Linked DNA regions of Schizosaccharomyces pombe. The protein of the gene in region 2 interacts with the protein of the main gene of each other region in a biochemical or structural test. Each region holds a gene or a part of one and is shown on either strand. Other genes may lie near its edges.

Region 1 (5,585 bases), 2.6 Mb from region 2:
TCGACGGGAACATGAAACACCTTTAATAAGTTTTCACAGGCAAGAATCTCTTCCGTAAAGGCAGGAATACTAGCCTCTTCTAACTTGCGTTGAGCAGCAATTCTTCTCTTCTCCTTCTCACGATTTTCACGCTCAAGACGAAACTGTTCTTGTCTTTTGGCACGTTGTTCACGTTCATAAGTACGGAATGCGCGCAATTGGGTATCGTACTCACGTTGTAAAGCTCTTCGTTGATTATATAGATCATCGAGTGCAGTCTTCTCATCATCTCTTTCTGCTATGAGCTTACGCTGATCTTTATAGTAACCGTCTTGTTGCTTACGAACCTCATCAAGCTCAGAACGGATTTCTACGAACTTGTCACTCAACTTCTTTGATTCTGAATCATTAAGTTGATCACGAAGCTCGTTAAGTTCATTTCTAATCGTATCAATACTAGTTTGAAGAGCGTTCAACTCAACGAAGCTCTTTCTAGTACGATTGCACTGAGAAATTTCACGCAGGTATTTCTTCTCATCAACAATCTTTAAAGTTCCTGAGTCAACGGCGGCTTGAAGTTGTTTAACATGTTTATCAAGCTCCACTTCTGACTTGAAAGGAACAGTTTTTTTCATGGCAGTCAACTCCTTAACCTAAAAGTATGTCAGTAAACATTTTGTTTCTTTACCAAGCTCATAAAGTTTTCCAACACAAAACTTTAGTGCTTACATATATTAATGCAAAACATACCTTCTTTTTCAAAAGTTCATCTTGAGCCTTGACTTTGTTGATGAGAGTTTGCTTAGAAGAACGGATAGCTGCTTGAGCATTGCGAATATTGTCTAATTCAGCGCGAAGTTCTGCATTCTTCTCCTGCAATGAACCACCACCGCGAATGGCACCAAGCTTCTCCTTATGCTCATTCTAGTTGATTAGTTAAGATGCGAAAACTATATAAGAAACAAGTGATTTTTTGAAGCTTTCATAGTTATGAAAAAAAAAAAAAGCTTAGCCTTCAATATTCAAGAATTTAAAACTACTTACGAAACGCTTTTTCGCCTCGTTGATCTTAGCATCAAGCTCCTCCAAAGCCTCCTTGTGAAGAGCTTCATTAGGACGAACGGGTTTATGAGATGACATTTTTATTAAGGATTTTGTTGTTGGTGGTGGATAGTGGTGTGTGTTGAGTTGTCGTTTAACGAGTATATAACAAGGCAGATAAACTCCGTTTGTTTTGCTTCCCTAGAGTTTTCGTTCGCAGTGCTGTGAAGGAGACTACCTGTTTCTGAAATTTTTATAAATAGCTTTTTGTTGACGGTTATTCAGACATCGTGTGAAGAGCAGTCTAAGGAAAAGATTACGATAATACATGTTATGATATTTTTTTTTTATTTATTTAAATAAACTGGTAGTTTTTTGCACTCGTCCACGTATTATGTTTAATATTTCAATTTAAAAATCCTGAATTGTAAATTTAGTGACCTTTATTTGCAATGTGTTGACTTGAACGAAACAAGAAAAATTAATGCATTTTTTCTCACGGATTAGCTTACCGATTAGCGGAGCATTAACATTTAATTTGGGAGGTACACAAAAACAGTTTTAAACTAAAAGTTACTTGCTTTTTAAAAGCAAATAGAAATATTGCAACTAGTCTTATAAAGCAACAGGATACTTCACTTATAGAAAGCGAATTTGAAAGCATAACTATCCATTCTTTTGTTACAACTATTGCATATAAGCACAAAATGTCTTTAAGTTAAATTATACATAATATCCTTTTTCTGTCACGTAAATTGTAAGTTCCTATTCAATTTCAGGCTGTGAAAAGTCCGTGAAAATAATACATCGAAGAGCTTTACAGGTTTCACAGAATATCCCGATGCTACCCATGTAATTGTTGCATACACCATTCTCAGGAAGTTTAAGAGCACAATTTAAAAAACTATATGAATTGAGTTCAAATTACCTTTATAGAATGAAAAACAATTAATAGAATTTAAAGTAATTTACATGGACAACAAATTAAAAATAACTATATACTTTGTAAAGAGTTTTGGTGTTGTTTTAGCCAAGCAGCCTATAATCCTGCATATTGCTGATTGCTGACCGGTGAATTAATCCACCGAAGGTTACTGTCTTCTCAACACCCCAAAATAATTCGGTTATTTTTCAACTCCAAGGATATGAAATCCTTTGCTAGCGAACTATCCAAACCTATTCAAAAGCCGCGTTTAAAAGAAATCCTTAAAGAACTGCAGCATATAGGTGTTCCTTCTCCTTGCAATCTAAGATTATATCATGAGTTAATTAGTGTGATAGTGCCCACATTCTGGAATGGGAAAATTAATTCAGAAATAGATTTTCTCCTTGCAAAATGTTTTTCTACTCTTTTGGGCTTAAAACTGCTATGTGTTCGACTAGATAATTTTGTTCAAGAGGCTAATTTGCAAAACATTCATCTTGTTACAGTTTATCTTGAGCTACTGGAAAAAGCATTTGAATGTATAGACCTTGACGATAACTGTAAATTGATATGGGAATCTACTGTATTATCTGATCATCAAAAGCAATCTTTGTGGACTGAATTTATTTTTTTCTTGGGAAACTTTAAAATTACTAATTCAATGTCTGCTGCAATGCTTACCTTCAAGGTTTACGATGATTCAAAACGTTTGAAGGCTTCATCAATGGCCGACTACATTGGCGTTTTATCTTCAAAATTGGCTTGCATTATATCTAAACCTGCTGTTAAAACCCCAGAAATATATTCAAAGCTATTCCATTATTTATTACACTCATCCAATTTAAAGGCATTCATTAACCCATTGATTCCATTAACACAAAAATTTTGTGTTCAGCTACAAAAATTATTTGCAGATTTGACGGTCTCTGATCAAATGTTGTTTCTCAATCAACTTCTTCTTGAACATAATACCAAATATCCCACCAATTTTTCATATTCCACCGCAAGAGATGATCGTATAACAGGTTCATTGGCTACATTATTAAGGCTGAACTTTTCATCCACTCACTTCCTTCGATTAATTGAATTTTATTGGGGCGTCCCTACAAATTTAATAATTAAAAGGGTAGAAGTAGTTTGTTCGAGTATATCTTATAAGGAATCTGATAAAAAGGAGCTAGAAAAAACAGTGGACTCTCTGTTTAATATATGGTCAAATGCGCAATTTTTGAGGAGCTATACGCTGCTAGCTCAAGAGAGCTTAACAATATATTTATTACTATTTATTCCGAAACTTGAAGCAAAATATTTGAATAATCTTTCCAAATCCCTAATGTTCTCCAATGCAATATCTTGCCGTTTAGATAGTCTAGATGATGATATTCGAATGCATGGAATGATAATGGCCGAAGTAATCTCTACATATTCGGGTGTCAGCTTAAGTAACCCGTTAGCCTTTGACGTTCCAATAATGAAGACTACGAAAGCAAAAGTTCTCAAATCGTTGAGCTCACTCAAGGATGAATTTTTGCCTATTGAAATTTTGAATGACGAAAGTGTTATCGCAGAGACTTCGATAGAAAAGGAAGAGACGAATGTAACTCACTTGGAGAAGCCAGTGATTTCTAAAAACGATGACTTAATAAGGGGAGATGACTTGGAGCCTTACGATTTTCCTGATATTGACAGTGAGGACACGGACGACGATCCAACTGTCTCTAGATCCAAGACGCATTCTCCTGTGTACGTACAAGATTTGTGCAAAATGTTAAAAGACACAGAAAGTTTTGAGAAACAACGTGTTGCACTGGAAAACGCTTCTAAGTTAATAAAACGAAAGTCTGCTTTTGGAACCGAATTACGAGATCATGCAGATGAATTGTTACAAACGTTAATTTCCTTACAAAATCGATTTGACTTAATGAACTTTGATGAAATGCAAATGACTGCTATAGTGGAACTTCTGTTAACCTGTTTAGATATATGTGGTCCTGTTATTTGTACAAATTTATTTGTTAGTGACTATTCAATGCGCCAAAAAATACTTATCTTATCTTGTATTTCTTTAGCTGCTAGCAAATTCAACGATGATGATAATGAACGTCTTTTTCCCAGCCAGTTACTTCCAGGAAATTTACACGATCAGTTTTATTCACCCACTATTGAAAAGATTAGTGATGAATTAGAAAGGAAATTAGTTTTTCCGGTAATGAGTGAATGCAAGGATTATGCGGAGGGACCGAAATTCTTACAGACACGGTATATTTCAAAGCAGTCGGAAATCGAGTCGAAAAAGCCACTCCCAAAGGCCAATCGATTATCGCTTAAGGTAGATAAATCATTGTTCCTGCTCCTCACCAGTGGTTATATGCTGGCATCTAGGAAAACGGCTTTTATTGAGCCTTTGTTTTTAGTCTACTATCTTAAGACATTGGGTATTCTCTTTTTTGAAACTTTTACCTCAAAGATAGAAGGGGCAAACAGAATGCTCCGGGAATATGTTGACGTTTTAAATGAGGTCTGCCGACTTCGATCAGACACTCCAGAAGTTAATGAAGGGCTTTTGTTTAGTTTTTTGGCTATCTTAGAAATATCTTCTGGGCGTACTTTAGCTAATGAGTTTGGGAAGCATTTGCTCTTCTTTGAGGCGTATACTAAGTTTCTTTTTGAAAGCCCTGATCAAGGTGAGAAAGTTAAGTCACTCTCAGCAGCTGTTTTAATTCTATTTGAAAATAAACTTTCAGAATTCAGAACGCTCGCATTGGAAAAATTACTGGATGACTCAGCTCCTTTGGTTCCAGAGCGATTTGGATTAGCCGGACTTTAATAGTTCTTTATGGTCATGATTTAAAAGAAAAAAAATATTATTTATGAGGTTGAAATTTTGACAGAAACTCATTAATGCATTTTAATTAAATAATATGATTTTGTAATAATAATGAATGTCTTTAGGCCAATTACAATTATTGAATTAAGTCCTTCCACAAACTTGATTTTATGGAGGATTTATTTAATTTGTTTGAAGAATACGTTTTAATCTCGCTATACTTGTTCTGTAGTTCTTGCAAAAAAACTTGGTGCGATTTGTAGGGTATATCTCCATCCGATATTTTTGAGGAATGACAGTTCAACATCGATATACTCTTATCAAATAAACCAAGTAATAAACTTATGTCAAGAGTATCGTAAAAATTTTTAGCGGTTTGTTTAAAAAGGGCGATATTAAATTCATGATTGACACTCTGTATTTTAGAGATAGTGTCCCAACAAGGAGGTATAAACATAGTTTCTGATTGAATTGTTTGAGCATGAAAATCTCGAGGTTTAAACTTTTGAAACATAAAATTATACTTCATTAAAACGTTGAGATTATTCCAGCTTGTTGGGTCCGCTGAGATAGAAACAATTGAGGACGTTGGTACGGATAAAAGTGTCGTTCGCAAAAACTGTAAAATAAATTCCTGTGAATTATCGACTGAGGTATGCAAGCCTAAAGCATGCTTCAACTACAAATTAGTAAATGTGCAAGTATTCAAGGGTATCTTACCTGTTTCAGAACAACCGTAAAGTTTAGTAGAATACCACTACTTATATCCAATGTTGTCGAGTTCTTATCCAGTAAAGCTACCAGTTTTTTGTT
Region 2 (4,926 bases):
TTGAATTTTATTTACATTCAAGGATGAAAAAGCAAGAGAGGAAGAAAGAAACTCACCTTAGTTGCAATGCAATGATAAAACACGCTGTTTTAGGTGTTGTTTTGGTAGACGATACACAAGTTAACCCATTTATTTGGATCGTAGCGTAAAGTATTTTCTAAAAGCGAGAGATTGAGCTACCGCGTTATAGTGTTTTATACTTGTTTTACCATAAATACGCATAAAGCGAGAGGTAAACTACTCCTTTTTTAACAAATTTGCCTGGTTAAACAATATACTTTACCAAGTAAGATAAGTAAAGTTGTTTTTTCCGAATTCAAAGATCACAACACATTCTTTTGAATTAGATTTTGGTGCAAATTTTGGCATGCTGACTGAGGTTCAAAAGCAAATACTGTTTCATTTGGAATCAGTGTTGAATAAATGCGAATTCCTGTAAGTTCATCCCTAGTTTATGACATTATCATTTTTTTTAATATGATGAATTCTAATATGTGTTAAATACAGTAAAATGAATTTACAAAAGGCAATTGTTTTGAGCATTGAACTTCAACAAGTTCAGGATGAGCAGCTGCGCAAGATTAACGCTACAGAATAAGAGGTTTTGTAAGGTTGCTCTCTAATTAAGGCTTTACTTTTCATTCATGAAATATCGCATATTCATTTCCATCGCTTCTTTAGATTGCATTCATTATGCATAATACGCAGAGTTACTTACTATTAATAAAGCTGTTAGGTACCTAAAGAGGTAAAAACTCGTTTAAAGTATTAAAGAAAACTATAGAATTGGAACCTGTTTAGTAAGCCCGATAGCATTTAAAAATAAAAAAAACTCTAATTTGAGTAAGGGAAAGCAATAGACACAGACACTATGTAGACCAAGTGTCTAACGAGTAGGTACGGGGAAAAAGTAGTGGGAAGGCTCCGCCACGTGAAAGCAATATTATAGTAGGATGTACTTATGCAAGAACCGTTTCGAGGAATCGTGTGGGAGATGATAACGTTTGGGCAAGAAATATTAGCTTAAATTATCACCGACGTAAATGAAGAGGAATACTCAAGTCTAATAATAAGAAAAGAATAATAAAACATGAACCAGAATTAAAACTAGAATTGGATTTGGTTCATTTTTATGAAAATGAAGGGAACTAGTAATGAAAAGGCTGTCCGTAGAGATAATTGAGTTATAGTCCCTTCCCTCAGTTCTTATTTGAGTACTTGAAAGTACGGATGGGCCATAGCTTCTTGACAAGTTAAACGCTCCTATGCTAAGTTAGTAACTATACAGTATATACCACTTAAAAAAATAAGTGATTGTATAAGATCCTGTAAAAACCTTCAGGTTCGGTAACTTACTTGATGATCATAACGTAATAAACGATTTAACAGATCGATTGCTTCATCATTGGCAAGCGATCTGTTGTCACGGTTGACAAAAGAATACCAGTCCCGCTTGGGATACTGACCAAGAATATTATCGTATTGTCGGTCCAGCACAATCTGGTATTTTTGTACGTAAGCGAAAAGTTCATCAGTTCCCAGAACTTTGGCAATTTTAACTAGCTGATCATAATTGTCCCGCCCACGGAAAAAAGTATCTTTTTTAAATATCAAAGCAGCAAACATGACACCAAACGACCAAATATCCAAGGAGTAATCTAAAGTTTGGTTAGGAAAAAAGAAACGTAAATATATTTAACAAAAGTGGATGCAACTTACCATATTCTCGAAAATCTACTAACAGTTCTGGACCCTTAAAGTATCTACTGGCTACACGAACATTGTATTCCATGCCAGCATGATAAAACTCGGCCAGACCCCAATCAATTAGCCGTAACTTCCTTTTTTTGTGATCGATCATAACATTATGAGGCTTAACGTCACGATGCATTATACCACGAGAATGACAGAAATCCAAAGCTTTTAGCAACTCGTAAGAGTAATAACGAATATCATAATCAGAAAGAGTAGGGTACAATGTACGGAAATCAATATTGTCAACAAATTCAAAAATTAAAGATGGTGTTTTACTCTATAAAATATTAGTATCGACAAATACAATAGTTTGATGGATATCAAACGTTCAAAAGCCAGAGTCGTATAAACTCAATAGACGGAAAAGCACAAAATTTCTTCTCCTTCAAGTTTCAAGACGATTCAATACAAAAAGCTTTTTTTTTTTATTCTTACCTCTGGATCGCGGACAATGTCAAGCAGTGAGATAATGTTAGGACCTCCGGCCAAGTTCTGTAGAATCTTTATTTCACGCTTGATTTTCTTGTACTTTACAGGCTTTAGGACTTTGATGATGCATTTGCTGTTGTTCAAGACATTTAATCCTTCGAAAACTTCACTATATTTTCCTCTTCCTACTTTCCGAATAATTTCATAATTGTCCTGATATCCAAATACCTCCTGCATGTTCTCGTAGTCCCAGTATTCACGGGGCATCTCCTCATTAACATGAGCATCTAAATCTAATTAGTCATTTGTTATCCTTTTTTTATAAATTTGAACTTCACAATACGTACAAACCCGGGAAACTGAGACGACTGGAGCCGCTTCAGTCTGGTTCATTGTAAGTAGCACCTTTCAGCTTTCACGTTTTTTTTTCTTAGAGTGCTCCCTCTATGTTAATGCAAAATCCTTTATATGAAACGGAACCCAAAAAATTTGTTTAGCAAGCTAGCTGGTGAAGGGCAGGTCTTGTGTATGCAAGTGCAAAGAGAGTGCTTAGTGAAAATTAACAAAGTGTTTTAAGCTCCGTTACAAGCAATATAGCAATATAAACAAGTTAATGCGCTATATGGCTTAAGTTTATAAACCAAACAAGTGAAAATATAGTTATGATATTGTTTTCTAGTGAGAAGAAATGTAACAAAAAACTGATAAACGTTGCAATCAAAATCCGATCACAGAAGACGAAAATGAGTATACTAAAGCTTCTAATAAGGAATTTTTTTGAAATTATTCTTCCTTCATACGTTTTAGTCCGCATGCTTTGTAACAAAACTGAATGCAATTGCTAATGATCACTTTTTGTGTTCCTAAGACCAATTGATTTGAAGCTGAGCATATTCTTTCGTAAACGAGTATTGTAATAATATTATTATCGCCCCAATTAATAAATTATTTACAAAATGGAAAGGTAAATATTAGATGTCCAATTGACAACTTTAAGCTATCAACGATAAAACTTTCAGAAAATTGATCTTTTTGAATCTTTGTATTAATAATTTCATTCATCGTTTTAAAAAAATGGGACTCTCTGTCTTGACTGACCCAATTTTGATATTCGTCTTCATTTGTCAACGATGAAGCAAAGGATATGTGAAGTAAAAAGTCCTGGAAGGCGTTAAAATTGTCGCTTATTTGAACCTTTACTTACCTCTCTCAAATTCCTATTTGTAAACTCTTTCATACAGTCACTAGCATGACTTATTAAGTCTTTGTAGTTTTCGTCACTGAATTTACATTCGAAAGCTAGGAACATTCTTGTTTTTTCGTCATTAAATAGTAGACACATCTTTCCCAGTCGAAATTTTAAAGTTCTTTTTTAATATGTCAGTCTCAACAGTATGGATTATTTGTCCTGAGTATACCTGTAATTCAAATTGTTTGTATATTGTTCCCATTTGTGCACTAATTGGTTCTTAGTGGAATAATTTATGCGGTAGTTTTCAGATATGCTTAAATGTAATCTTCTTGGTACATTATGCTCAGAGCAAAGAAGCGATTGAAACCGACTTTGTGAATTCAAAAACTCACGAATGCCTTTTTTAACTTTCTTGCTCAAATCCACTATTGATAATTGTCAACTTTTTGTTAAATAAAAATTGATTTATTACCCTCCAAATATGTTTGAACAAACCACAATCCTTCAATATGCTTTTGTCCACGAATTCGACCCTCATGAAACTCAGGACTATCAAAAGTTTTTGGCTTTTCTAAGAATATGAGTTATCAAAACATTAAAACCTTCTTACTCTTATAAAGTTCGTGAAATGATTCTTGGAGCTTAGGGACTTTTAACATTCGGGGATTATCAGATATTGTCTCGTCATCGTCTTCTCCGGAGCTCGAACTCTCATAACATACTAAAGACATTTATTCTTCTATTTTTTTTTATTAATATAATAAAGATGGCTACTTTCTTTTCTCAAGGAATGGTGTAGAAATGGCCTGTAATAGTAATAGATATTCATGCAAAAATTTTTGTAATAGTTTGGTTATTAGTATGTATTCGAATAGACATAAGCTTTTGCTTAGAATCCCGATTTCATATGAACTGCAATAAACCTATCCTTTCACTCTTGAAGTCAGTGGTAGGTTTGTTCAGACTTGTACATATAAGTATGCTGTATTAGCGTGACAGACTAGCAGTAAATAATAGGAAATCGTGATCTTCAGGCTTTACACATAATCTTAATAATACAATAACACGCGGCTGGGAAATTGTAATTTTCAAACTATCGCTTAAAATTAAGAAGTGTTCATTGAGTAAACACTCGACGTTTAAGCCTACGATGAGTTTATGTATAATGATTGAAATTGTTGAGCAATTTTAAAATGCTCGGACTATAAAACAAACAAAAAGTTGAGCCTATGTAGAAGATAATGAAAGATAGAGTACAAAATAACGTAGAAACTTAAATCGTCAACTTCCCTTGAAAAAACTCAATCGCTTCCTCCACTGCAACGTCGATGGAAAGAGGTTTATCACCTACACCTTGGCAAGTATCACCTTTTCCTCCACTGCGACCGCCAATACTGTGACAAACTTTTTGAGACCACTCCTGTGGAGTTAACTTCTTCATGGCCTCAGGTGAAACAAGACATGCATGAGCAACTTTAGTATCGTCAGATGCTAACAAGTAAATACTTTTATCCTTCAAATTTTTCTTAGCATAAGTAAGGGCAAAACTT

The links.
Region 1: of the proteins of cka1 (region 2) and tel2, one has a biochemical effect on the other in vitro, tested with the Schizosaccharomyces pombe proteins (one study listed by BioGRID).

Annotation. Positions count from the first base shown.
Region 1 is NC_003424.3:4,732,697-4,738,281, forward strand, and holds tel2 (TTT co-chaperone complex LRR repeat subunit Tel2), read left to right. Parts: upstream 1-2,124; 5' UTR 2,125-2,165; coding exon 2,166-4,772; 3' UTR 4,773-4,902; downstream 4,903-5,585. Other genes in the region: SPOM_SPAC458.02C (mRNP complex protein), read right to left, coding at 1-632, 730-903, 1,024-1,119; dli1 (meiotic dynein intermediate light chain Dli1/Dil1), read right to left, coding at 4,909-5,451, 5,493-5,585. UniProt on the Schizosaccharomyces pombe protein: Component of the TORC1 and TORC2 complexes required for the regulation of the cellular respons to changes in available nutrients. Required for normal entry into S phase. Regulates activation of the DNA replication checkpoint.
Region 2 is NC_003424.3:2,149,805-2,154,730, reverse strand, and holds cka1 (serine/threonine protein kinase Cka1), read right to left. Parts: upstream 2,695-4,926; 5' UTR 2,578-2,694; coding exon 2,532-2,577; exon of another isoform or gene 2,472-2,531; coding exon 2,191-2,471; exon of another isoform or gene 2,188-2,190; intron 2,033-2,187; coding exon 1,720-2,032; intron 1,659-1,719; coding exon 1,357-1,658; intron 1,264-1,356; coding exon 1,207-1,263; 3' UTR 508-1,206; downstream 1-507. Other genes in the region: 3'-5'-RNA exonuclease Mpn1, read right to left, coding at 3,130-3,345, 3,389-3,551, 3,603-3,801, 3,849-3,947, 3,987-4,107; alanine--tRNA (Ala) ligase Ala1, read right to left, coding at 4,650-4,926. UniProt on the Schizosaccharomyces pombe protein: Catalytic subunit of a constitutively active serine/threonine-protein kinase complex that phosphorylates a large number of substrates containing acidic residues C-terminal to the phosphorylated serine or threonine.